2 linked regions of the Stegostoma tigrinum genome follow. The protein of the gene in region 2 interacts with the protein of the main gene of each other region in a pairwise test. Links are inferred from orthologs where the notes say so. Each region holds a gene or a part of one and is shown on either strand. Other genes may lie near its edges.

Region 1 (12,196 bases), on a different chromosome or scaffold from region 2:
ATATGTCACACAGGCAACAGCATGTACATAGCCTAGAGAAGAGGATCAAATCTCAGATCAGAGCACAGCAAAAACATTAGACATGAAACAGGAAAAGACCATTTAGCCTCTTGAACCTGCTCCTCCTTTCCACATAAGATCAAGAGTCGGTCAGGAGGCAGGAATGCCGCAGTGAGTAAGTCATCTCCTGTCCATCATCTAAAAGACAAAAGTCACAATTGTATTGGAATACACCCCACTCGCCTGGGTGGGGTGCACTTCCAAAAACACTCAAGAAGTTCGACACTATCCAGGATAAAAGTTTATTTGACTGGCACCCATCTACTACCTTCAACATTCACTCCCTTCACTACAGACACTCAATAGCAGGAATGTATACCACACGTAACTCGGCAACACTTCAAAAGTATCATCCAAACTGACCACCTCTCCATCTAGAAGGACAATGGCACAGGTACATGGAAACACTATCCTGAATGGAAATTTACTGTTGTTCCTTCAGTGTTGCTGGGTCAAAATCCTGGAACTTCCTTCCTCACATTGTGGGTCTACCTACAGCACGACTGCAGCAATTCAAAAAGATAGTTCACACCACTTTCTCATGGTGACTCATGGTTGGCAATCAGGCCCACAGCAGAGCACTTAACAAGAAGGACTGTAAAGTTGAACTCTATTTCTTTATTCTTCTGCCTTTTGTGTTCTCTGTTTTGGTTTACTTTTCTGCCTTTTAAGATGGCGCCCGAGCTGTACAACACTTTTCAATGTATTTTGCAAAATAATACACGTGAAATTAGGCAGATAGATAGACAGGCTGACAGACAGGTAGACAGACGATGGGCAGTAAATGCTGGACTAGCCAATGACACCTACATCCCAAGAACAAATAGTACAAAACCCTTGCATGGCTAATCCTCTGTCTCAGTTCTACTATTCATATCCCTTGATTCTGAAGCACCAAAAATCTGTCAATCTCAGTCTTAAATGTTTTCAATGACAAGTCCGAAGATTCAAAGCCCTCTGACTGAAGGAACTCTTCATCTAAGTTCCAAATGATCAATCCCTTATCCTGAAACTGTGTCCCTAGATTCACTGCCCTGTGGAAACAATCTCTTGGGTTGACCAGTCAGTTCCCTAATGTATCTCAATGAAATCACCTCCTATTCTTCCATACTCTACAGAATATACAATTCACTTAGCCTCTTATCTCAGGGACAAATTTAATGAAGCTTCATTACTGCCTTCAATGCAAGTCTATCTTTTCTTAAATAGGATGACCAAAATTGCGCAGAGTGTTCCAGACGTGATATCACCAAACTCCTTTATTGTGGCAAAACTTCCTTTTCCTATACTCCAACTAACTTGCAATTCAAGCCACTACAATTGCCTAGCAAATAATTTGTTGTACCTGCATGCTAACTTTGTATTCCTCAAACAAGTGTACCTAAGTCCCGTGAATGGAAAAATTTAGATGTTTACTACATTTTAAAATATTCAATTTTTCTACTAATATAAAAGTGAAGAACCTCACATTTCCACACCTGCCATTTTGTTGCCCACTTAATTAACTTGCCTATATCTCTTGGTGTCCTCCTCTCAGTTTTTTTTTGTCAGCAAATTTGAATATGCCACGTTGAGTCTATTGTCTAGGTCACCCTCTGAGTGAACTAAATTATTTTCTCAAATCCCCTCTAAACCTCCTGCTTTTCACCTTAACATAATGGTCCCTTGTTATCAACCCTTCAACTAAGGGGAGCAACTGCTTTATCCCCAGTCCATGCCACTCAATTTTATACACTTCAATCAAATCACACCCAACATCCCTCCCTCAGTTTTTTCTGTTTAAAGAAAATAACGCAGGCTCTTTTCACAGCCAATATACTCCAACCCAGCCAACATCCTAGCGAATCTCCTCTGCACCCCTCCAGTGTAATCACATTCTTCCTATAATGTGGCAATCTGAGCTACACACAGTACTCCAGCTGTGGCCTAGCCGAAGTTTTGTACAGCTCTAATATAACCTTTCTGCTCTTATAATTCTCGGATGCATCCCATCGGGTTCAGGGAAGTTATTGGTTTTTACACCCTTTAATTTCCCTCGAACTTCTTCTCTCATGATAGTATTGTATTTATTTACTTCTTCTCCTCTTTTTGCCCCTTGTAATTTAGTAATCTTGGAATACTATTAGCGTCTTCTACTGTGCTGCAAAGTATATATTCAATTCCTCTACAATTTCCTGGGTTCCCATTATTTCCTCAGCCTTGTTCTCTGAGTGGCCTTTGTTAACTCTCTCTTCTTTGTATATATTTATAGAAGTTTTTGTTGTTCATCTTGATATTACTTGCAAGTTTACCCTCAAATGTTATCTTCTCTTTTTTTTGTTGTCTTTTGTAGGTTTCTAAATCTTTCCCAATCCTCTGGCTTACCAATAATTTGTTCCCACATTATTTTTTTTTCCTTTCAATTTGATGCTTCCTTGGTTAACCAAGGTTGGCTTATCACCTTCCTAGAATTCTTCTTTCTCGCTCATATGTATCTTTGCTGTGAGCCATTAACTATTTTCTCAAAAATCTGTCATTATTCCTCAAATGTCTTTACTACTAAACTCCTTTCCAAGGCCACACCAGCTAGGTCTGTCCTCATATCTTTCTAACTACCCTTACTTCTGCTTGTAAAAGCTACTTCTGATTCACATTTCTCCCTCTCAAATTTAATGCTGAATTCCGCTATTTTACGGTCCTGGTTTCCAGTATAACACCAGTATAACTAGGTAGGGTTAACAAGAAATTCCACTACAAATAGTAAGATCCTGGAAACACTGAAGATCAGAAGGACCTTGGCGTGTATATCCACAGACCCCTGTAGGTATCGGGTCAGGTACAAAGGGTGGTGAGGAAAGAATTGGGATATTTGCCTTCATTAGCCAAGGATTAGATAAAAGAGCAGGAAGATTATGATTGGATTGTATAAAATGCTGGTTAGGCCATAGCTGGAGTACTGTGTGCAGTTCTGGTCACCACACCGTAGGAATGATGTGATTGCACAAGGGAGAGTGCAGAGGAGATTTAACAGGATGTTGCCTGTGTTGGAGGGGCCCAGCAATGAGAAAAGGTTGGATAGGCTCGGGATATTTGCCTTGGAGCACGGAAGGTTGAGAGGGACTGATAGAGGTGTACAAAATTATGAATGACACAGATAGTGGATATAAAGGCCACTATTAATTGAAGGGTTAATAACCAGGGGTGTCATAGATTTAAGAAGTAAAAGGTTAAGAGGAGAATTCAGCGGAAATGTTTTCACTCAGAGGGTGGTGAGAATCTGGAATTCACTATCTCAAAGGGTGGCAGAGTCAGAAATTATCAGAACACTTAAGCAGTATTTAGATATTCACTTCCTTTGCTGTAGCTTCCAGGGCAATGGGCCAAAATCTGGGATTAGTGTGGTCATATCTTTGCTGACCGGTGCAGACACAATAAGCTGAATATCCTCCTTCAGTGCTGTAAACATCTATCATCTGTATTACCAAACATAATCTGGCAGGCCGGGGGATAGCTTTACTGATGTCTTTTGTTTTCTACAGGAATATGTTGCAGATTGTTTAGTCTTTTCTATTAGTTATAACCTCTCAGTCCGGTGTTAATCTAATAAAAAAGGGATTGGCACCTTGAAGCAGGAACAAGCATAAGAGAACAACAGAGAATCTACAGACTATAACACATCAGCAGGGATAGATGACTAGTTAGCCAAAAGAAAGCAGACAGTAGGAATTCATGTCGTCCTCGAGTTGGAAAGCTAAAACTAATGGAGTGTCATAGGACTAGGCGCTGGAGTCTCAATAATTTACTATTCATATACATGAATTTGATGTGAGAATTAAATGTTGGCCAAATTTGCTGATAACACCAAACTAGTAGATTGAAAAGACGACGTGGACAGTCTACATAGTTAATACAGTAGGAAAAAAAATTGGCAGATGGAATGTAATATGGGAAAACGTACTTGTCCACTTTGACTGGAAGAGAAAAGCAGTACATTCTATAAATGGAGAAAGATCACAGAGCTTGGAAGACAGAGGGATCTTGGTGCGCTGGTACATTGATCACAAAAGGTGAGTATGCAGGTTCACAAGTGATTAGGTGAACAAATGGAGCATTGACAGTTATTGGAAGGGGAACATTTTTCTGAAGAAGGGTCTAGGCCCGAAACATCAGCTTTTGTGCTCCTAAGATGCTGCTTGGCTAATGTGTTCATCCAGCTCCATACTGTGTTATCTCGGATTCTCCAGTATCTGCAGTTCCCATTATCTCAGACTTTAAAAGTAGTGGTGATTTACTGCTATACAGGAACTTGGTGAAACTTCATTTGCTGCACTGTGTACTGTAATATCTCCATATCGGAAAAAAGGATATAATTGCATTAAAAGCAGTGAGAGAAGCTTCAATAGACTCGTTCCTAGACAAGGACATCTTAAGATGGTGAGGCCACTTCTTTTATTTCTCAGATGGTCATTAATCTGTGAAATTCTATTCCCCAGAACAGAAAAGACTGGGTCACTGAATTTATTCGAGGCTCTCCCCTCTCCCCCTGCCCTTCCCTCTCTTTCTGCTCCCGCCGCCCCCCCTCCGTTTCCTCCTTCCCTCTCTCTCTCCTTCTCCCTCTCTCCATCCACCCTCCCTCTCTTTCTATCCATCCTCTCTCTGTCTCCTTCTCACCTTCCGTTCTTCGTCCAGTTCCTCCAAATTCTGCGCCTGCGCCCTCCCTCCGTGGATGAGTCCATCATGCCGGGGAGGGAAGGGCGGTGTGATGAACAATTTAACTCTCAGCGTATTTCCGCGCTCTCTCCCTCAGCCGTGGTCACATTCGTCATACTAAAGACTTTTATAATATTTCCCCGAGCAGTACCCGCTATTCAGAACCTATTGATCGGCCAGAAACCATTCTTAACACAGATCACTCCCTCCCCGACAATATGGGGCACCCGGTTCCCATAGCAACAGCCTCAACAATGGAGAGTGGGAGAGAGACAACAGAGAATGGAGAAAGACAACAGTGAGACAGAGACAACAGAGTGAGAGAGAACAGAGAGTCAGAGAATAGAGTGAGTGAGAGAGAGAGAGAGAACAGTGAGTGTGAGAGAAAAAGAGTGAATACAGACAGTGCGAGAGAGAGAATAAAAAATGACAATACTAAGAGATATAGAGGAGATGGAATAGAGGGAGAGAATAGAAAATGTGAGAGAGAGATAGTGAGAAAAGAGAGTTAAAGTGAGAGAGATAAGAGTGAGTGAATAGGGAGAAAGAAAAAATAGACCGAGAATAGAGAGATTGAGGGAGGAAACAGAGCTAGAGATAACAGAATGATTGAGGAAATAGAGTTAAAATAGATAGAGGGAGACAACAGAAAACTGGACAGAGAATAGAGAGAGAATTGAGAAAGGGAGAGACAATAGAATGATAGAGAAAGAGAAAAGGATTGTGAGGGAGAAAATAGAGAGAAACAACACAGGGAGAGAATAAACAGTGTGGGAGTGAAGATAAAGAAAAAAAGAGACAATCGTGAATGAGAACAGAGAAAGAGGCAACAGAGATCTTTCCAGAGAGAAGAGAGAGAGTGAGGGAGAAAGAATAGAATGTTACAGCGTGAGGATATAGAGATAGAATGACAGAATAGAGAAAATAACGGAGATAACATAGAATAGAATATGAGGGAGATAAAATAGACAGGTAGATGGACAACAGAGAGTTAGAAAATACAGAGAGAGTGAGGAAGTGAGTATAGAGAAAGAAAATAGAGAGTGACAGCAAGAATAACGCAAGAGAAAATAGAAAGTGAGGAAGAGAACAGATACAGAAAGACGATAGAGAGAGGAAGAGAACAGAGATAGTGGAAGAGAATAAAGAGAGGGAGAGAGTAGAGAATAGAAGCAGAGAGAATAGAGAGATAGAGTAGGAGACAAAATAATAGACAGAAGAAAAGAGACAATGGAGAGAAAGAGAACAGAGAGTGAAAGCAAGAACAGAGAGAGCAAATAGAGTGAGAGGGAGAGGCTATAGAGAGATAGAAAGAATAGAGAGTGGCAGAGAAGATAGAGAGAGAATAACAGGTGAGAGTGAATAAAGTGAGAAAGAATAGAATAATGAGAGAGCATTGAGATTGAGAGTAGAGAGAAAATACAGTATGAGAGAACTGAGAGTCAGAGAGAGTGAGAGAGATAACGAATAAAAAGATAGGACAGAAAACTCAGACAACAGAGGGATCGAGAGAGTGAGGAAGATCATAAAGAGTTGGAGACACAAGACAGCGAAATAGACAGAGAGAGAGTGTGAAAAACACAGACAAAATAGAGACATAGAGTGGGAAAACTAAAGAAACTTCTTCTGTACCCTGCTCCCTGTCCTACACCTCTGCCCCCCTCCCACTCCTCACAATCCACCCCTATGCTCCCTCCCTCCCCTCCCCCTCCCACTTCCCCGCCCCCTCTCCCATTCCTCACAAACACACCCCGTTCCTCATGCCCCCCACCTACTCCCCAGTTCTCACTTCCCTCACTTTCCCCTCTCTCTACCTCACTCACTCTCTCTCCCCCAGTTTCCCCAATCCCACCCCACTCACCTGATCTTCTACCCACGCCCCCTCCTCCAACTCTTTCCTGTTCACTTCCTCCCTCTTCCCCCCCAACTCCCTATCCCTGCCTCCTTCCTCCCTCCCTTTCTCTATTCCACCTTCCTCCTTCACACTTTTCTTACTCTGCCATCTCTTCCCCAAGTTCCCTGGCCTTTTCCCCGCTCCTCACACACTCGCCTGGCCCCTCTCCTGTTCCCCATCGCCTCCCACATTGCCCCTGGCCTATTGCCCTCACTCTCCCCAACCAACTCACTGCCCCTTCCTCTCCTTACCCCCCCTACTCTGTAATTTATTCCTCCATTGTCTGTGCCCCCCTGCCCTTTACCTCCAGTTGATCCCCCATCCCCCACTACATGCACAGACGGATCCCATGCTGGTTAGCAGGTGACCATGTTAAGTTGGATATGTTCTGCATTCTCCACGCAGGGTGAGTAAGCAGTGTGAAGATGGTTGAGATCAACACAGCCCTTACTCCATTGGCGCTCTATGAAGAGAATATGGATTTACCAGTGGAGGTGGCAGCCCGGCAGAGACAGATGGTGAAGAAACGTTTGCAGGATTTTCCTGCTCGCATCCTTTTATTTTTGCTCAATTCCTATGTTGCTTGGGGCTCTTGTCATTGTCAAGGTATTAGGGAGACAGCAGACAATGTGAGAAGATAGCTGATAGAACACTGACTCGTGGGAGTGATGGCTGAAAACCAGTTTAATCTCAGGTTGTTGACTTGCTCAACGAGCTGGCTTATTTTCATTCAGACCATCTTAGGTGACATCATCAGTGGAGCCTCCGATCAAGCAGTGTCATTCTGCTCCGCTTGGAATTTATACTGTTTGGTCTGTTATAGTGAGTAGTGTCATTTCTGGTTTTGATCTGTATGGGTTTGTATACAGTGTCCAATTCTATGCATTTGATGACAGGTCGAGAACGATGCCTCTGGGATTTCCTATGCATGCCTATGTTTGGCTTGGGTTATTCGAGTTACTTTTCCCAGTTAAACTGATAGCCCTCATTGTCTGAGTGTACCAATATTAAGGAGAGTTCATCGTGCCATTTAGCTGTTACCTGATGTTCATGTATTCTGATGGCTAGTTTCCGTCCTGTCTGTCTGATGTAATGTTGGTGGCAGTCATTGCATGGTATTTTGTAAGCCGTGTTGGTTCTGCATATTGTGTGAATGGGGTCTTTTATCTGAGTAAGTGTTTGTTGTAGTGTGGCTGTGGGCTTGTGAGCTACCATGATTCCTAGTGGTCTTAGGACTCTTGTTGTCAGTTTAGATATGTTCTTGATGTACGGCAGTGTGGCCAGTGTGTTAGGGCATACTGGGTGCTCCTGGAGGACACCATTACAGACCATAACTCAGCCAGGTTCCTGGTGGTGTGAGGCAGCGATGCTGACCAGTGAACTGCAATACATATCCTGGATGTGTTTAAAGGGAATAGTGCCAAGTAAGCTTCATTCTCTACCTAACATTGTGATATACGTGTCCTAAGACTATTTGATGGCGGATAGTGTAGACGGAGTTTTAGTCTGCACATAACCCCAAGCTGTACTTGTCCTCACAGGGTTTGATGAGGGACAGCATAAATGGAGTTTTATTCTGTCTCTTAAACACAAGCTGTCTCTTGCCTTGGAGTGTCTGATGGAGACAGTGTAGAGTCAGCTTTATTTTAGGTTACTTTCAGTTTACAGTAGTAGAGAGACCTTTACTGTCTATCTAACCCTATGCTGTCCCTGTTCTGGGAGTGTTTGGTAGAGACAATGTGGAGAGGCTTTACTTTCAGTTTTAAAAAGTAGAGGCAGCTTTACTCTGTATCTAACCCTGCTGTACCTGTCCTGGGAGGACATTTATATATGTTACAAACACCAGAGGTCCTAGCAATGACTCTTGAGGGACACCACTGGTCACAGACCTCCAATCAGTAAAACACCCCTCTACAACTACCCTCTTCCTTGGTGTTAAATATTGGCTGGGACACCAGGGAGTGCTGTGTATTCTGAGATAATGGGAACTGCAGATGCTGGAGAATCCGAGATAAGAAAGTGTGGAGCTGGATGAACGCAGCAGGCCAAGCAGCATTTTCGGAGCACAAAAGCTGATGTTTCAGGCCTAGACCCACCATAGAGGAGAAGACAGGTGGGCCCAAAACCAGCCCAGCTCATCCCTGCCTCCCTAACCTGTTCTTCCTCTTACCTATCCCCTCCTCCAACCTCAAGCCGCACCTCAATTTCCTACCTACTAACCTCATCCTGCTCCCCTGACCTGTCCGTCGTCCCCGGACTGACCTATCCCTTCTCTACCTCCCCACGTACACTCACCTCTTTGGGCCCCATCCCCGCCCTTTCGACTTGTCTGTCAACTCTCCACCTATTTTCTCCTCTATCCATCTTCGATCCGCCTCCCCGACTCTCCCTATTTATTTCAGAACCCTCTCCCCCTCCCCCTTTTCTGATGAAGGATCTCGGCTCAAAACATCAGCTTTTGTGCTCCTAAGCTGCTGCTTGGCCTGCTGTGTTCATCCAGCTCCACACTTTGTTATCTGGTGGTGTGTATTCTTATAAGTTGTTCTGTGGGATCTTTGATGTCCACCTGAAATTGTGAATGCAGCCTTGGTATAACCCTTCACCCGAGTGACAACTCTGATGCTGAAGTGGCAGTCTGTCAGTGGTTGTTGGATGCCATTCTCAAGTGTAAGGCTTGAAACAGGAGGGATGGTCATCAACTCAGGCAAGTGATACCCCCAGGGCTGGGTGGTAGTGACACTCGCTCGGGGCTGGAGATTCCCCAGCTCAGACTGGGCTTTGTTCAGCTGCTTTTAAAAATACAATTTCATCACTCATGTAGACAGCCAGCACTGAGACCTGAGGAAAGTGCAGCAGTGAGTGGGAGAGAGGAGGGTGAGATAGGAGGTTGTGGAGGTGGATTTGAATGGGGACAGGAATGAGAAACTAGGAGAGAAAGGGGAGATGTTGAACAATGGGAAAAGAAAGGCGGAGAGTGGGCAATCAACAGAGAAAGGAAAAAGGGAAAGATAGGAGCAAGAAAGGCGAGTTGGTAGAGGGTGAGAAAAGAAAGGGGAGTAGAATGGGAAACAGGAAGAGGACTTAAGAAACTGGACTGCAGGATGGGGGGAATGAAGGGCAGAGTGGGGTGATTACGGGGGAATTATAGCCCTGAGATTTACGTTGCAGCAGTTTCATGGAAATATCAATTATTTTTCACTTAACCAATAAAGTTCAGCATTCGTGATTGGCTCAATGGACCTGGTGAATGAGAGGATTCAACATTTAAGTGGCACATTGCATGCTCATCCTGAAGCCTTGGTGAGTCACAGTTGTCTTGTTTCCCATGTGAGGCTGTTCAGCTCCCAGCACTTTGCCTTTTCACAGAGATGGAAAAACTGAGTACATCACCCAAATACAAGAATTATCAAGTTTATCACCCATTCAGAGACAGGAGTGATTAAGTGTATCACCCAGTAAGAGATGGGACTGTGTCACCCAGTTATAGACAGCAGCGATGGACTATGTCACCCAGTGATAGACAGTGTGATGGACTGTGTCACCCAGTGATAGACAGTGTGATGGACTATGTCACGCAGTGATAGACAGTGTGATGGACTGTGTCACCCAGTTATAGACAGCAGTGGTGGACTGCATCACACAGTGAGAGACAGGAGTGATGGACTGTGTCACCGAGTGATAGACAGGAGTGATGGACTGCATGACCCATTGAGAGATAGGAGTGATGAACTGCATCACCCAGTGATAGACAGCAGTGATGGACTGTGTCACGCAGTGATAGACAGTGTGATGGACTGTGTCACCCAGTGAGAGACAGGAGTGATGGACTGCGTCATCCAGTGACAGACAGGAGTGATGGACTGTGTCACCTAGTTATAAACAGCAGTGATGGACTGCATCACTCCTGCATCACCCAGTGAGAGACAGGAGTGATGGACTGCGTCACCGAGTGATAGACAGGAGTGATGGACTGCATCACCCAGGGCGAGACAGGAGTGATGGACTGTGTCACCGAGTGATAGACAGGAGTGATGGACTGCATCACCCCGTGAGAGACAGGAGTGATGGACTGCATCACCCCGTGAGAGACAGGAGTGATGGACTGCATCACCCAGTGAGAGACAGGAGTGATGGACTGTATCACCGAGTGATAGACAGGACTGATAGACAGGAGTGATGGACTGCATCACCCGGTGAGAGACAGGAGTGATGGACTGTGTCACCGAGTGATAGACAGGAGTGATGGACTGCATCACCCCGTGAGAGACAGGAGTGATGGACTGTGTCACCGAGTGATAGACAGGAGTGATGGACTGCATGACCCATTGAGAGATAGGAGTGATGAACTGCATCACCCAGTGATAGACAGCAGTGATGGACTGTGTCACGCAGTGATAGACAGTGTGATGGACTGTGTCACCCAGTGAGAGACAGGAGTGATGGACTGCGTCATCCAGTGACAGACAGGAGTGATGGACTGTGTCACCTAGTTATAAACAGCAGTGATGGACTGCATCACTCCTGCATCACCCAGTGAGAGACAGGAGTGATGGACTGCGTCACCGAGTGATAGACAGGACTGATAGACAGGAGTGATGGACTGCATCACCCGGTGAGAGACAGGAGTGATGGACTGTGTCACCGAGTGATAGACAGGAGTGATGGACTGCATCACCCCGTGAGAGACAGGAGTGATGGACTACATCACCCAGTGAGAGACAGGAGTGATGGACTGCATCACCCCGTGAGAGACAGGAGTAATGGACTGTGTCACCGAGTGATAGACAGGAGTGATGGACTGCATCACCCCGTGAGAGACAGGAGTGATGGACTACATCACCCAGTGAGAGACAGGAGTGATGGACTGCATCACCCCGTGAGAGACAGGAGTGATGGACTGCATCACCCAGTGAGAGACAGGAGTGATGGACTGTATCACCGAGTGATAGACAGGAGTGATGGACTGCATCAGCCGGTGTGAGACAGGAGTGATGGACTGCATCACCCCGTGATAGACAGGAGTGATGGACTGCATCAGCCGGTGAGAGACAGGAGTGATGGACTGTGTCACCGAGTGATAGACAGGAGTGATGGACTGCATCACCCAGGGCGAGACAGGAGTGATGGACTGCATCACCCAGGGTGAGACAGGAGTGATGGACTGTGTCACTGAGTGATAGACAGGTGTGATAGGAGTGATGGACTGCATCACCCAGTGAGAGACAGGAGTGATGGACTGTGTCACCGAGTGATAGACAGGAGTGATGGACTGTGTCACCGAGTGATAGACAGGAGTGATGGACTGCGTCACCCAGTAAGAGACTGGAGTGATGGACTGCGTCACCCAGTGATAGACAGGAGTGATAGACTGCATCACCTAGTGAGAGACAGGAGTGATGGACTGTATCACCGAGTGATAGACAGGAGTGATGGACTGCATCACCCAGTGAGAGACTGGAGTGATGGACTGCGTCACCCAGTGATAGACAGGAGTGATAGACTGCATCACCTAGTGAGAGACAGGAGTAATCAAGTGTATCACCCTGAGAAACA
Region 2 (12,468 bases):
TGAGAAGTCATGGGTACAGCAGCTTCATAAAGGAAAGAGTGGATATATGTGAGAGCAGGAGTGATGATGGGAGATTAAAAACAAACAGGCAGGGAGGCCTTTCAACTTGCTTCTATTTGTCAGGGCCAAAGTGTGATGTCACAGGAAAACAGATAGATGATCGATGGATACGTTTACCATATCGCTTGGCTAAGTGGCTTAATTCAAATGCTGTTGCAACTGAAAAAATAGTTTGGAAGTTAAATTTAATTTGAAATGACTGGACAGGTGATGTGTTGCAGTTGTAGAATGTGCAACCTGGTGGGTTCTGCAGTGACCACATCTGCAGCAAATGTTGGCTAATTAAGGATCTTTGGCTCAGAGTTGATGAGCTAGAGTCTAAGCTGTGACTACTGCAACACACCAATGAAAAGAGGAGGTACCTGGAAACTGTCAAGTTCAAGTCTGCATGTTCTCAGAATTCTGAAATGGTACACAGTGAAATCAGTTTAGAGAAGAGAAGTGTGGGTCTAAGACTCCTATTTTGAATTTTAACATGGGCAATTAGTAAGACATGAAAACAGAGCTAGTGAAAGTGAATGAACGTTTTAGGTTAAGGAATCAGTCAAAAGAGATACAGTAGCAAACATTTAAGAGAATATTCTAGAAAGCACAAAATAGATATATTCCAAAAACAATCTAAGGTATAGACCTGTCACACTTGATTAGCTAAAAAAAGCAAAGATAGCACTGTTTAAAAAAACATGTAATTGTGCAAAGGTAGATAGCAGGTCAGAAGATTGGGCAGAATATTATTTTAAAAAAAAGCAAAAACTTTCTAAAAGATAAATAAGGTGGGGCAAATTAGAATGAGAGAAAGTTAGTCAAAAGTATAAAACAGAAAGAAAAAGTTCCTTCATATATTTAAAAAAGAAAAGCATTAACCAAGTGTTGACCTTATAGAAAATAAGTCTGGGAAATTAGAGATGGCAGATGAGCTGAACAGATATTTTGCATAGGTCTTCACTAGAAGGGATAATAGTATGATTTGGGAAATAGCTGTGAATCAGAAATGAAAGGGAAAGAGGAACTCAAGAAAATGACAATTACCAGGGAAGTAGTACTAGGTAAAATTTGTTTTATTTTTGTGCCAGGTAGGAATGAATAATTGCTACAGTTCACCCACTTACCCTTTAAATTTTGCCACTGCCTTACCACCATCTTCCTTTTAAGTAATGTCCCCAATCCATCACATTCTAATTGTGCCTCATACAATTGTAATTTTCTCTATTTAGATTTAGAACCCTAGTATTAGAATCAACTACGTCACTCTCTATCTTAGCAAGAAATTCCATCACATTATAGTCGCTCCTTCCCAAAGGGGCCTCACACAACTCGATTGCCAACTATTCCTTTCTCCTTATGCAATAGTCTGGTCTGTTCTGTTCTCAAGGTGTTCCTCAATAAATGCGTTCAGAAAACAATCCTATATACACTCCTGAAATTCATTTTTCCTCATTACAACTTAAAATCACCCATAATTACATTGTGTGAATTGTTAATTTCCTAGTTAGTTAGTTTAATGCCATTCCCAACATCAGTTTGAAGGTTTCGATACAGCACCTTTGTCTTATGCCCCTTGGGTTATTTCAGCTCTTCCCACACAGATTCTACTAACCCAGATCTGATAACCTTCCTCATTATTGAATAAGTTTCCTCTTTAATCAGTAAAGCAACTCAACTGTCTTTTCCTTTTTGACTGTCTTTCCCAAATATTGGATGTTCAGCTCCCATCCTGGTCATGCTGAAGCCATAGTGTCCCCGACCTGGACTTCCAAGAGCTGTGTCTGGAGACACTTCCTGTACACGTATTGGCTTCCAGGCACTTGAACTGTGCCCAACTTCCCAAAATACCAAAGGAAAAGTGCAACACGGCTTTGAATCATTTTGCCAAGGCATACCTCTTTAAATTAAATCCTTTGGAAGATGCTTAATAGCAAAATATTAATTACTCTAGGGTCATTATTCCCTAGTCTGTATTACTATAGGATGTAGTCCTTCCAAACTATAGACCACACTAACAAAAAAACAAAAACACCTCTTCCCCTCTTCAATTTCCCACCATGTTCCTGGCAGTCTGAGGTGACTTGACTGAAAGATATAAGTTCCGAAGGGGACTTGATCAGCTGGATGTCAAAAGGATGATTCATCTTGTGGGAGAGTCTAGAATTAGGGGTCATGGTTTAAAAATAAGGGGTCACCCATTTATGACAGAGATGAGAAAACATTTTTATTAATCTTAAAGATGTAATTAATTTATTCAGCCACGTTACACAATACAACCTACTGACTGATCAGTTCTAATGCTGAAAGAAACTCTTCAGGCTGTCACTAATAATCTGATTTTTCTAGTTTACATGTAGATTAAAGTCATCCATGAATGTCCCTGTGTAACAATCACCCATGCCACCATAAGACTATAAAATATAAGTGCAGAATTAGGCCATTGGCCCATTGAGTCTACTCCACCATTCAACTGTGGCTAATATGTTTCTGCCTTCTCCCCATAACCCTTGATCCCCTTACTAAACAATATCCTGGAGATAGTGACAACTGCCAATGCTGAAGTCAGAGATAACACAATGCGGAGCTGGAGCAGCACAGCAGGCCAGGAAGCATCAGAGGAGCAGGAAAGTTGATGTTTCGGGTCCGGACCCAATACATCAACTTTCCTGCTCCTCTAATCAAGACACTGTCGATCTTTGCCTTAATGACATTCAATGACTTACTTCTTCTTGCATATCTTGTTATCCCATTTTGTTCACTGATAGGGGACCTGTAGACTACTTCCAGTAGTAACTCCTTTTCCTACTAGTCCTCATCTCTTCCTAAACTTGTTGCTTCCTGACCACCTGACACAAGATAATCTGTAACTATTGCAGATGCCATTCTTGATTAACAGTGCGATCCTCCATTTTTATCCATTCTTTTTGTTTGAATGTCATATACCCTCAATATTTCTGACTTAATCCTTGTAATCCTGGAACCAAGTCGCCTCAATGACAATGAGATTGAAAATACGAATACAATGTGCACTATCCTTTTTTACATTATTAGGGATGTTATATACAAATGGCTTTTAGTTTTATCTTTTTGTAACATCCAGTTTTTCTTGTAGGTGTAAAAACTAAAAGAACTGCGGATGCTGTAAATCAGGAACAAAAACAAAGTGGCTGGAAAAGCTCAGCAGGTCCGGCAGCATCTGTGGAGGAGAAAAGAAACTTAACATTTCAGGTCCGGTGACCCTTCCTCCGAACTGGTTCCAGTTCGGACAAAAGGTCATCAGGCCCTAAATGTTAACTCTGTTTTCTTGTCCACAGATGCTGCCAGACATGCTGAGCTTTTCCAGCCATTTTGTTTTTGTTTCTTATAGGTGTATTCCTTGATTTTTTTTTCTTTCTGCCTCTTCTTACATTCTCTGAGCATCATCTCCCATATTATTATTTTCCTTTCCTACCTTGTCTCTTTGGTGTGCTACATTTTTCTACATTTGATCTCTTGAGCCCACGCTTCCCTAACACTGTTCATTTAAAAACTCTTTCTACTTTCCCGGTCACAAAGTTCAAAGAACCACTTTCTAATTTATTGACTAGTTTCCTATTATGTGCTTGCACAATCTATTTCTTAGTTCTGCCTATGTTGTTGGTCTCTACAGGGACTACGACGAATGGATCCTACCTTCTCACTGCAATTTCCTTTCCAGTTCTGAGTAAATTTCCCAAATCTTGGCACCAGGCACCTTGCTTCCAGCTTATAAATACTGAGCCAAAGCTGCTTGAACTTCAAATACTACTGCAGCACTTTAAGTGATCATCTAAAAGCCTCTTAAATTTTGTGGTGATTCTTGCTTCTACCACTCTCTCTGGCAATGAGTTCCAGATACCCAACATCTGCCGTGTGAAATAATTCTTCCTTTATTTCCCTCTAAACCTTCAGCTCCCTCCCTTAAATCTATGCCCCTTGTGTATTAATTCCTTAACTATGAGGAAATGGTTCTTCCTATATATCCTGCCTAAGGCCCTCATCATTTTGTACACCCCAGTCAGATCCTCCTTAGCTTTCTCTCATCTTAAGAAAACATCCCTGGTCTATTTAGTATCTCTTCATATCCGAAATGCTTCAAAATCCTAGTGAATCTCTTCTGCACTTCTCCAGTGCAATCACACCTTTCCTATGATGTGGCAAACAGAACTGTACACAGTACTCCAGCTGTGGCTGAACTAATGTTTCACATAGCACCTTCATAACCCCTTTGATCTTATATTCAATGCCTTGATTTATGAAAGCAAGCATCCCGTATGTCGTCTTAACCAACTTTCCCCCAAAGGAACTGTGGATATTCACACCATGGTCCCTCTGATAGTCTATACTTTGTAGGGTCTGACCATTCAACCACAATCATCAGTCATGCAAAAACCTACAGATCCCATGACTAGTGAAATTTCCTTGGTTGACAATAATGCTTGTCAACAAGTGATTGCCAACAATGTTCATTCTACATGTACTCCCTTGCCTTGTTAGTCCTACCAAAATGCATCACTTCACAACATTTTTAAAAATTTCTTTGTGAGACATGGGATTGCTGGTCGGCTAGCATGAATTACTCGTCCCTAGTCCAAGATTAAATTCCATTTGGCGTTTTTCAGCCCACTCATATTCCCACAGATAATAAAATGTGAGGCTGGATGAACACAGCAGGCCCAGCAGCATCGCAGGAGCACAAAAGCTGACGTTTCGGGCCTAGACCCTTCATCAGAGAGGGGGATGGGGAGAGGGTTCTGGAATAAATAGGGAGAGAGGGGGAGGCGGACCGAGGATGGAGAGAAAAGAAGATAGGTGGAGAGGAGAGTCGGCCCCAAACCCCACCCCTTCCTCCGTTACATTGATGACTGTATCGGCGCCGCCTCTCGCTCCCCAGAGGAGCTCAAACAGTTCATCCACTTCACCAACACCTTCCATCCCAACCTTCTGTTCACCTGGGCCATCTCCAGCACATCCCTCACCTTCCTGGACCTCTCAGTCTCCATCTCATGCAACCCGCTTGTAACTGATGTCCATTTCAAGCCCACCAACTCCCACAGCTACCTAGAATACACCTCCTCCCACCCACCCTCCTGCAAAAATTCCATCCCCTATTCCCAATTCCTCCACCTCCGCCGCATCTGCTCCCATGATGAGGCATTCAACTCCTGCACATCCCAGATGTCCAAGTTCTTCAAGGACCGCAACTTTCCCCCCACAGTGGTCGAGAACGCCCTTGACCGCGTCTCCCGCATTTCCTGCAACACATTCCACACACCCCGCCCCCGCCACAACCACCCAAAGAGGATCCTCCACTTTCTCACACACCACCCCACCAACCTCCGGATACAACGCATCATCCTCCGACACTTCCGCCATCAACAATCCGACCCCACCACCCAAGACATTTTTCCATCCCCACCCATGTCTGCTTTCCGGAGAGACCAGTCTCTCCGTGACTCCCTTGTTCCACCTCCATCTCCTACCTACTAACCTCATCCCACCTCCTTGACCTGTCCGTCTTCCCTGGACTGACCTATCCCCTCCCTTCCTCTCCACCTATCTTCTTTTCTCTCCATCTTCGGTCCGTCTCCCCCTCTCTCCCTATTTATTCCAGAACCCTCACCCCATCCCCCTCTCTGATGAAGGGTCTTGGCCCGAAATGTCAGCTTTTGTGCTCCTGAGACTGGGCCTGCTGTGTTCATCCAGCCTCACATTTTATTATCTTGGATTCTCCAGCAACTGCAGTTCCCATTATCACTGATACAATTATATTCCCACAGAGTCAGCTGTGTCTAGACCTCCACAAGGTCCTGACCTGCAACTCTAAGCTAAAGAACAAAGGGCAACTGTGCTGGGAAGACGGTAAACATGAATGAGAATCATCAGTCAATGAAGGCTGTTAACTACATTGCACCAGTGTGGGGCAATTCACAGATAATAAAATGTGAGGCTGGATGAACACAGCAGGCCAAGCAGCATCTCAGGAGCACAAAAGCTGACGTTTCGGGCCTGAAGGGTCTAGGCCCGAAACGTCAGCTTTTGTGCTCCTAAGATGCTGCTTGGCCTGCTGTGTTCATCCAGCCTCACATTTTATTATCTTGGAATTCTCCAGCATCTGCAGTTCCCATTATCTCTGGGGCAATTCACAAGCAGTTTTCAGGTTTAGAGATAATGGGAACTGCAGATGCTGTAGAATCCGACATAACAAAGTGTGGAGCTGGATAAATACAGCACACCAAGCAGCATCTTAGGAGCACAAAAGCTGACGTTTCAGGCCTAGACCCTTCTTCAGAATAGGGGGAGGGGGAGAGGGTTCTGAAATAAATAGGGAGAGGGGAAAATGGATAGAGGAGAAGATGGGTGGAGAGGAGCCAGACAAGTTAAAGGGGTGGGGATGGAGCCTGTAGAGGTGAGTGTAGGTGGGGAGGTAGGGAGCGGATGGGTCAGTCCCAGGAGGATGATCTGGTCAAGGGGGCGGGATGAGGTTAGTAGGTAGGAAATGGAGGTGCGGCTTGAGGTGGAACGAGGGGATAGGTGAGAGGAGGAAAAGATTAGGGAAGCAGTGACAAGCTGGGCTGGTTTTGGGATGCAATGGGGAGAGGGAGATTTTGAAGCTTGTGAAATCCACATTGATGTGTCTCCTCTCCACCCATCTTCTCCTCTATCCACCTTCCATCCACTTTCCACCTCTCTCCCTATTTATTTCAGAACCCTCTCCCCATCCCCCTTTTCTGATGAAGGGTCTAGGCCCGAAACGTCAGCTTTTGTGCTCCTAAGATGTTGCTTGGCCGGCTGTGTTCATCCAGCCTCACACTTTGTTATCTGTTTGCACGTTTGTTGCCCCTTTCTGATCACGTGGTTATCAGAGGGCGATAGGTTGGCGGAGCGCGGCAGGTGGTTCGGAGTCGCGCCTTGACCATGGGTATGGGACGCGCGTCAGGCGGGGCTGCTATGGTAACGGGGCCAATTCCGCACTCGTTGTGGACTGGCGTGGTCGGTGTATGGCGCAGGCCTGCTCCGGCTCCGGCTGATGGCTGAAACAACGGCCGCTTTTCCCGTCTTTTTTTAACGAGTCGCGGGGTACGGGACAGCCGTCATGTTTCAGGCTCGAGATCAGGACACGCGAGCCAGGTAAGACTCCCCGTTTACCCTCTGGCCGTGGGACCGTTTCGGGCTCCGTTTGTAGGCAAGCTCGAGGCCAAAGGCCGAGGCTCCATCAGCGGCTTCGCGAACCAGCGTCATTTGGCGGTTAGAAAGAAATCATTAGTCTGAGATCCTGAGTACTTTGCTTTTATTTTAATCTGTAAAATTCAGGGCTTGGCTAAGTAGAAACTCGCATCTTTCTCCAGTTTCTATCTAATCTCCTCTCCTGCCTTATCATTGCTCACCTTGCCCATGAGACCCATCTTCAACTCACTAAGCTTCATTTCTAAACGGCCAACCATCCTAATTCCCCGTATTCTGGTATCATTAATAGCCCGCGCTCTCTGCTGATTAAAATTGCAGAAAACCAAAGCCACCACCTTCACTTGCTGCTGTGGATTCCATTCCCTGACATCTGAACCCACTCCTTACTGTGGAAACTGTCTGCAGCTGAACAATTTTGTTGTATTTGATCCCAGGATAAGTTTGTGACTGTATTGCTACACCATCCCTGATACCAGATATGCCAATCTTCAGAATATCACCTTAAACCACCTTGCACCAACTCATCTGCTGTCATCCATGTCTGTTTTTTGGTTACCTTTAGACTTAATGATTCTAATACATCTCTGACAAGTCTCTTATAATGACTCCCATTTCCACTCAGATATGTGAAATCATCCAAAACTCTGCTGCTCGTGCATTTTCTCTCTCAAACTCCAGTTCACTGATCACCCCTATGCTTGCTGACTAGCATTGGTTCCTTGTCAAGTAATTTCTTGATTTAAAATTTCACTCTTCTTTTGAAATTCCCCACAGACCTCATTCCTCCTTATCTGCATGATGTAAGGAATTGTGGGATTAGGGAGCTAGTTGTATTTATAAGGTACTACTCATAAGGCTACTTAATAAGATAAAAACCCATGGAGTTGAAAGTAATATCCTAGCATGAATAGAGGATTCGCTAACTAAAAGAGTTGGGTTAAGGAGGGTGGGCATTTTTCAAAATGGCAACCAACAATGACTGGAGTGCTATAATGATCAATGTGAGGGCCACATTGATTTACGATAATAGACTTGGTTGAGGAAAGTGAATTTACTATAGCCAAATTTGTGAATGACACAAAAATAGGTGGGAAGGCAAGCGACGAGGATAGAACAGGTTCTGCAGAGAGATATAGATGGGTTAAGTGAGTGGGCAGACACTTGGCAGATGAAATATAAGGTGGGAAAATGTGAAGTTAAGTGCTTTAACCAGAAGAATAGAGGAGCTGAATATTATTTATTTGGAACAAATTGTGCAACAGAGGGCCGAGCAGGAAATTTTGATGTTTTGGGTTGGGACCCTTCTTCAGAAAATTTTCTGAAGAAGGGTCCCGACCCAAAACGTCAAACTTTCCTGCTCCTCTGCTGCTTGGCATGCTGTGTTCATCCAGCTTCACACTGTGTTATCTCAGATTCTCCAGCATCAGCAGTTCCTACTCTCTGCATGACGGAGAGGTTTGGCAGTCTTTGCGCATGACTCACACAATGCTAGCATCTAAATTCATTGAGTAGTAGGGAGGATAAATGGAATGTTGGCATTTAATTTTATAGGTGGTGGAGAAGAAAAGTAGGGAGATATTGCAAAAACCATACGAGACACTAGTCTAAGGAAAAATATCCTCACATTGCCAGCAGTCCAGAGGAGATTCCCTACATTTTTACACAAGTGAAGGGTTTGTCTTATGAGGTGAGGTTGAGTCAGTTGAGCCTGTATCCTTTGGAATTTAGGAGAATGAGGAGACCTTATTGAAATGTACAAGGTTCTTTGGCTGCTTAACAGGGCAGATGTGGAAAGGTTGTTTCCCCTTGTGACAGAATCTAGGACAAGAGGGCATAATTTCAGAGTAAGGGGTTATACATTTAAAACAGGGATGAGGAGGAATTTCTTCTCAGATGGCAGTGAATCTGAAATTCCTTGCAGACGGTTATTAAAGCTGGGTCATTAAGTATCTTCAGCATGTAGATAGAATCGGGGAGGGAATCAAGGGTTACGGAGAAAAGGCAGAAAAGTGGAGTTAATGATTATCGGCCCAGCCGTGATGTCATCAAATGGCAGACCAGACATGATGGGCTGAATGACCTGTTTCTGCTCCTATGTTTAATGACCCCTTTCGAATTAAAGAGGATGGATTGGAGAGTGGGAAGGGAGCTCAGATTTTGTTTTGGACTCGAATCCTTGCCCTCCCTGGAGTGTGAAAAATTCAGAAAACTCAATTTCTGAACTTTCTAGCAGCACTGAGGAAAGCAGAACCTCAGATACGCGTGTCTCTAATCCACACTGAAGGGAACCATTTTAGTTATGCTGAAAGGCTCTGGTATATTTAGGCCAACGTCTTCCAGTTGTCAGAGGTTTGAGCTTCCAGCTGGCAACTCCCTGCTCCTCAGGATCCTCCAAAAAAATTTCAAATTCTGAGTTAGGCTCAGAAGCTTAGGTATTCTTAGAGTGGGTGAGGTCATGCAGATGGACCATGTGAAAGATAAGCCATAATTGACTGTGTTTCCGGCCTGGGAATTTAAAACTTTTAACAAGCAATTACCAGGTGTCTAGAATCTTCTTTTTCCCCAAAAAATATTCCTAACTTTGAGTTAGAGCTGGAAACTTTGGATGGTTCCAACAGACTTCACTTTGTGTCGCACAGGAAAAGTTGGAGGTCCTAAGACTATGAGACTATAATACATCGGAGTGAAAGCAAACCATTCGGCCATTGAGTCTGCTGTAGTTCAATGAGATCATGACTGATCTGGTAATCCTCAACTCCACTTTCCTGACTTTTTCCCACAGCCCTCGATTCCCCTTAATAACAAAATCTGCCTAATTCTCCCTTGACTACACTTAACGGCCCAGTTTCTATAGCTTTTTGCAGTGAAGAATTCCACAGATTGATTACACACAGAGAAGAAAATCCTGTCCTCTGTCCTAACCGGGCAACCCTTATTCTTTTTGTTATGCCATTTTGTCCTAAACTCACCTATAAGGGAAACAACTTCTCTGTATCTAACTTCTCAAGTCCCCTAAGAGAATGTATACTTCAACAAGGTAATTTCTTCTTCTTGTAAACTCTAATGAGTACCTGGAATCAACCTATTGAAGCTTCTTTTTACTGCCTGTTTAGATGTGGAACCAAAAGTGTTCACAGTATTCTAGGTGTGATCTTGTATAGTTTTAGCAAGATTTCCTTATTTTTGTATTCCAGTCCCTTTTGAAATCGAGGCCAACATTCAATTTGTCTTCCTTGTTACCCGCTGTACTAATGCTAGCTACATGTGATTTATGCACGAGGACCGCCATATTCTTCTGTGCTGAATTTTCTGCGGTATTCCACGTTGTGCAGTCAATATCACTAATGTGCAAGAAAATAAAAATCATCTTGGGATTTTTGTGCAGATTGGAGATTGTGATGAAGAAATGGCTATTATCAGCTATGGCATCCATCTTCTCTACATTTTCCAACATCAGGGGAATCCTGCAGAAATTTGAGCCAAAATATTTTAGCATCCCTGATGGCTTGATGCTAAATTGTGTAATACTAAAAGTTCACCCCTTTCAGAACTTGCTGATGGGGTTGTGGATGGGTAAAGATGAGCAAGAGCCGTCTGTTTTGCTATCTCCTAAATTATCCCCACCACAATTCACAAATTTGTCTCACTTGTCAACTCTCTGGATTTCCACAATGCTGCTAAAGGAGAAGCAAGGTTGACATCACAATTACTAGTCACAACATGCAACAAGTTTTAGAAGAGATCCTCTGTCATAATTTTTATCTCTAAAACTTTCATTATTCTGCAGCAACTAAAAGTAAAACTTTCTTTTTCAGAGACAGTCAAACAAAGTATATTCACAGCACTGTTGTAAATGTGGAAAAGCACTTTGGTGAGATCTGCACCTTATTTGCAGCCTATGCACGGAAAACTGCAAGACTACGTGATAAGTCAGACCTGCTGGTTAAAGAACTCCGAGAGTACTCCGATACAGAAACTCCTAATTTAAAATATGGTCTAAGTAGCTTTGCAGATCACTTTGCTTTAGTTCAAGATTATAGACATGCAGAGGTGAGTTGCTGAAAATATTTGTGTGTGGCAGTACACCATGTTCAACACAGTCTTTTCACTTCTGATTTTGATCTGCGTGAAGTTCACTATAATTGCATTAAGTGACTTTTTTTTTCTACTGGATATTTCTAAATCTTTGGCTTTCTGTGAAGCAACAGCTACCATTCAGAATCAATTATCAGTACCACTCGAGGCAGAAGGATTCCAAAATGGAAATTGAAATTGGGACAATGGCGAGTATTCATCTGAAGTTAGTTGCCCAGTGATCCACGTTGGCAGTAAGAAAAGTGAGATAACATAAAATAAAGAGTAAACTTCAAAAGGAGTGCAGGAGCAGAGGGACCTGTGTACATAAATCATTGAAGGATAGGTTGAGATATTACAATTACAAAAAAAGTCTTTTTTTTAAACTAACAGTCATATAGTGTGCAAAAGGAAGTTGTATTAAGTTTGTATGCAATACTGGTGTGGCCTCGACCAGAGAACTCCATCCAGTTTCACATTTTAGGAAGGAATCAATTAGTTTCTATTCAGAAATGCAAAGACTGTAAGCAGGTTTAATTAATGCACTCAAGGAAGTTAGATTGTTATCAGAAAAGGAAAATTTTACGGGGCTGTGGGAAGAGGGCAGAGGAGTGACACTATGTAAATTGTTCCATTGGAGGGCCAGCACTAGCCTAAGTATTCAAATTAGATTTTTTTTGTGCTGTAACCATTCTGTGATTCTGTAGCGCTGTGCCGAAATCAAAAGAATCTTATTCACCAGCATACTTCCGCTGTACTGAATCAATTGGAGGGGCATGCAAAAAAAATGCAATTTGGGCAACGAGAAAAAGGGAACTGCAGATGCTGGAGAATCCAAGATAACAAAGTGTGAAGCTGGATGAACACAGCAGGCCAAGCAGCATCTCAGGAGCACAAAAGCTGACGTTTTGGGCCTAGACCCTTCATCAGAGAGGGCGATGACGAGAGGGTTCTGGAATAAATAGGGAGAGAGGGGGAGGCGGACCAAAGATTGATAGAGGAAAAGATAGGTGGGGAGGGGATAGGTCAGTCCAGGGAGGACGGACAGGTCAAGGAGGCGGGATGAGGTTAGTAGGTAGGAAATGGAGGTGCGGCTTGAGGTGGGAGGAGGGGATAGGTGAGAGGAAGAACAGGTTAGGGAGG

The links.
Region 1: the proteins of cibar1 (region 2) and cby1 interact in binary tests that used the Homo sapiens proteins (3 or more experiments, as listed by UniProt). The two-hybrid records come from large-scale screens. The link is inferred for Stegostoma tigrinum from reciprocal best matches to the Homo sapiens genes CIBAR1 and CBY1.

The regions. Positions count from the first base shown.
Region 1 is NC_081391.1:1,424,970-1,437,165, forward strand, and holds the start of cby1 (protein chibby homolog 1), read right to left. Parts: upstream 4,788-12,196; 5' UTR 4,711-4,787; intron 4,107-4,710; exon of another isoform or gene 3,557-4,106; intron 1-3,556. Other genes in the region: protein FAM227A-like, read left to right, coding at 7,069-7,192, 9,861-9,943. UniProt on the Homo sapiens protein: Inhibits the Wnt/Wingless pathway by binding to CTNNB1/beta-catenin and inhibiting beta-catenin-mediated transcriptional activation through competition with TCF/LEF transcription factors.
Region 2 is NC_081358.1:90,555,251-90,567,718, forward strand, and holds the start of cibar1 (CBY1-interacting BAR domain-containing protein 1), read left to right. Parts: upstream 1-6,918; 5' UTR 6,919-7,159; coding exon 7,160-7,194; intron 7,195-11,066; coding exon 11,067-11,301; intron 11,302-12,468. UniProt on the Homo sapiens protein: Plays a critical role in regulating mitochondrial ultrastructure and function by maintaining the integrity of mitochondrial morphology, particularly the organization of cristae.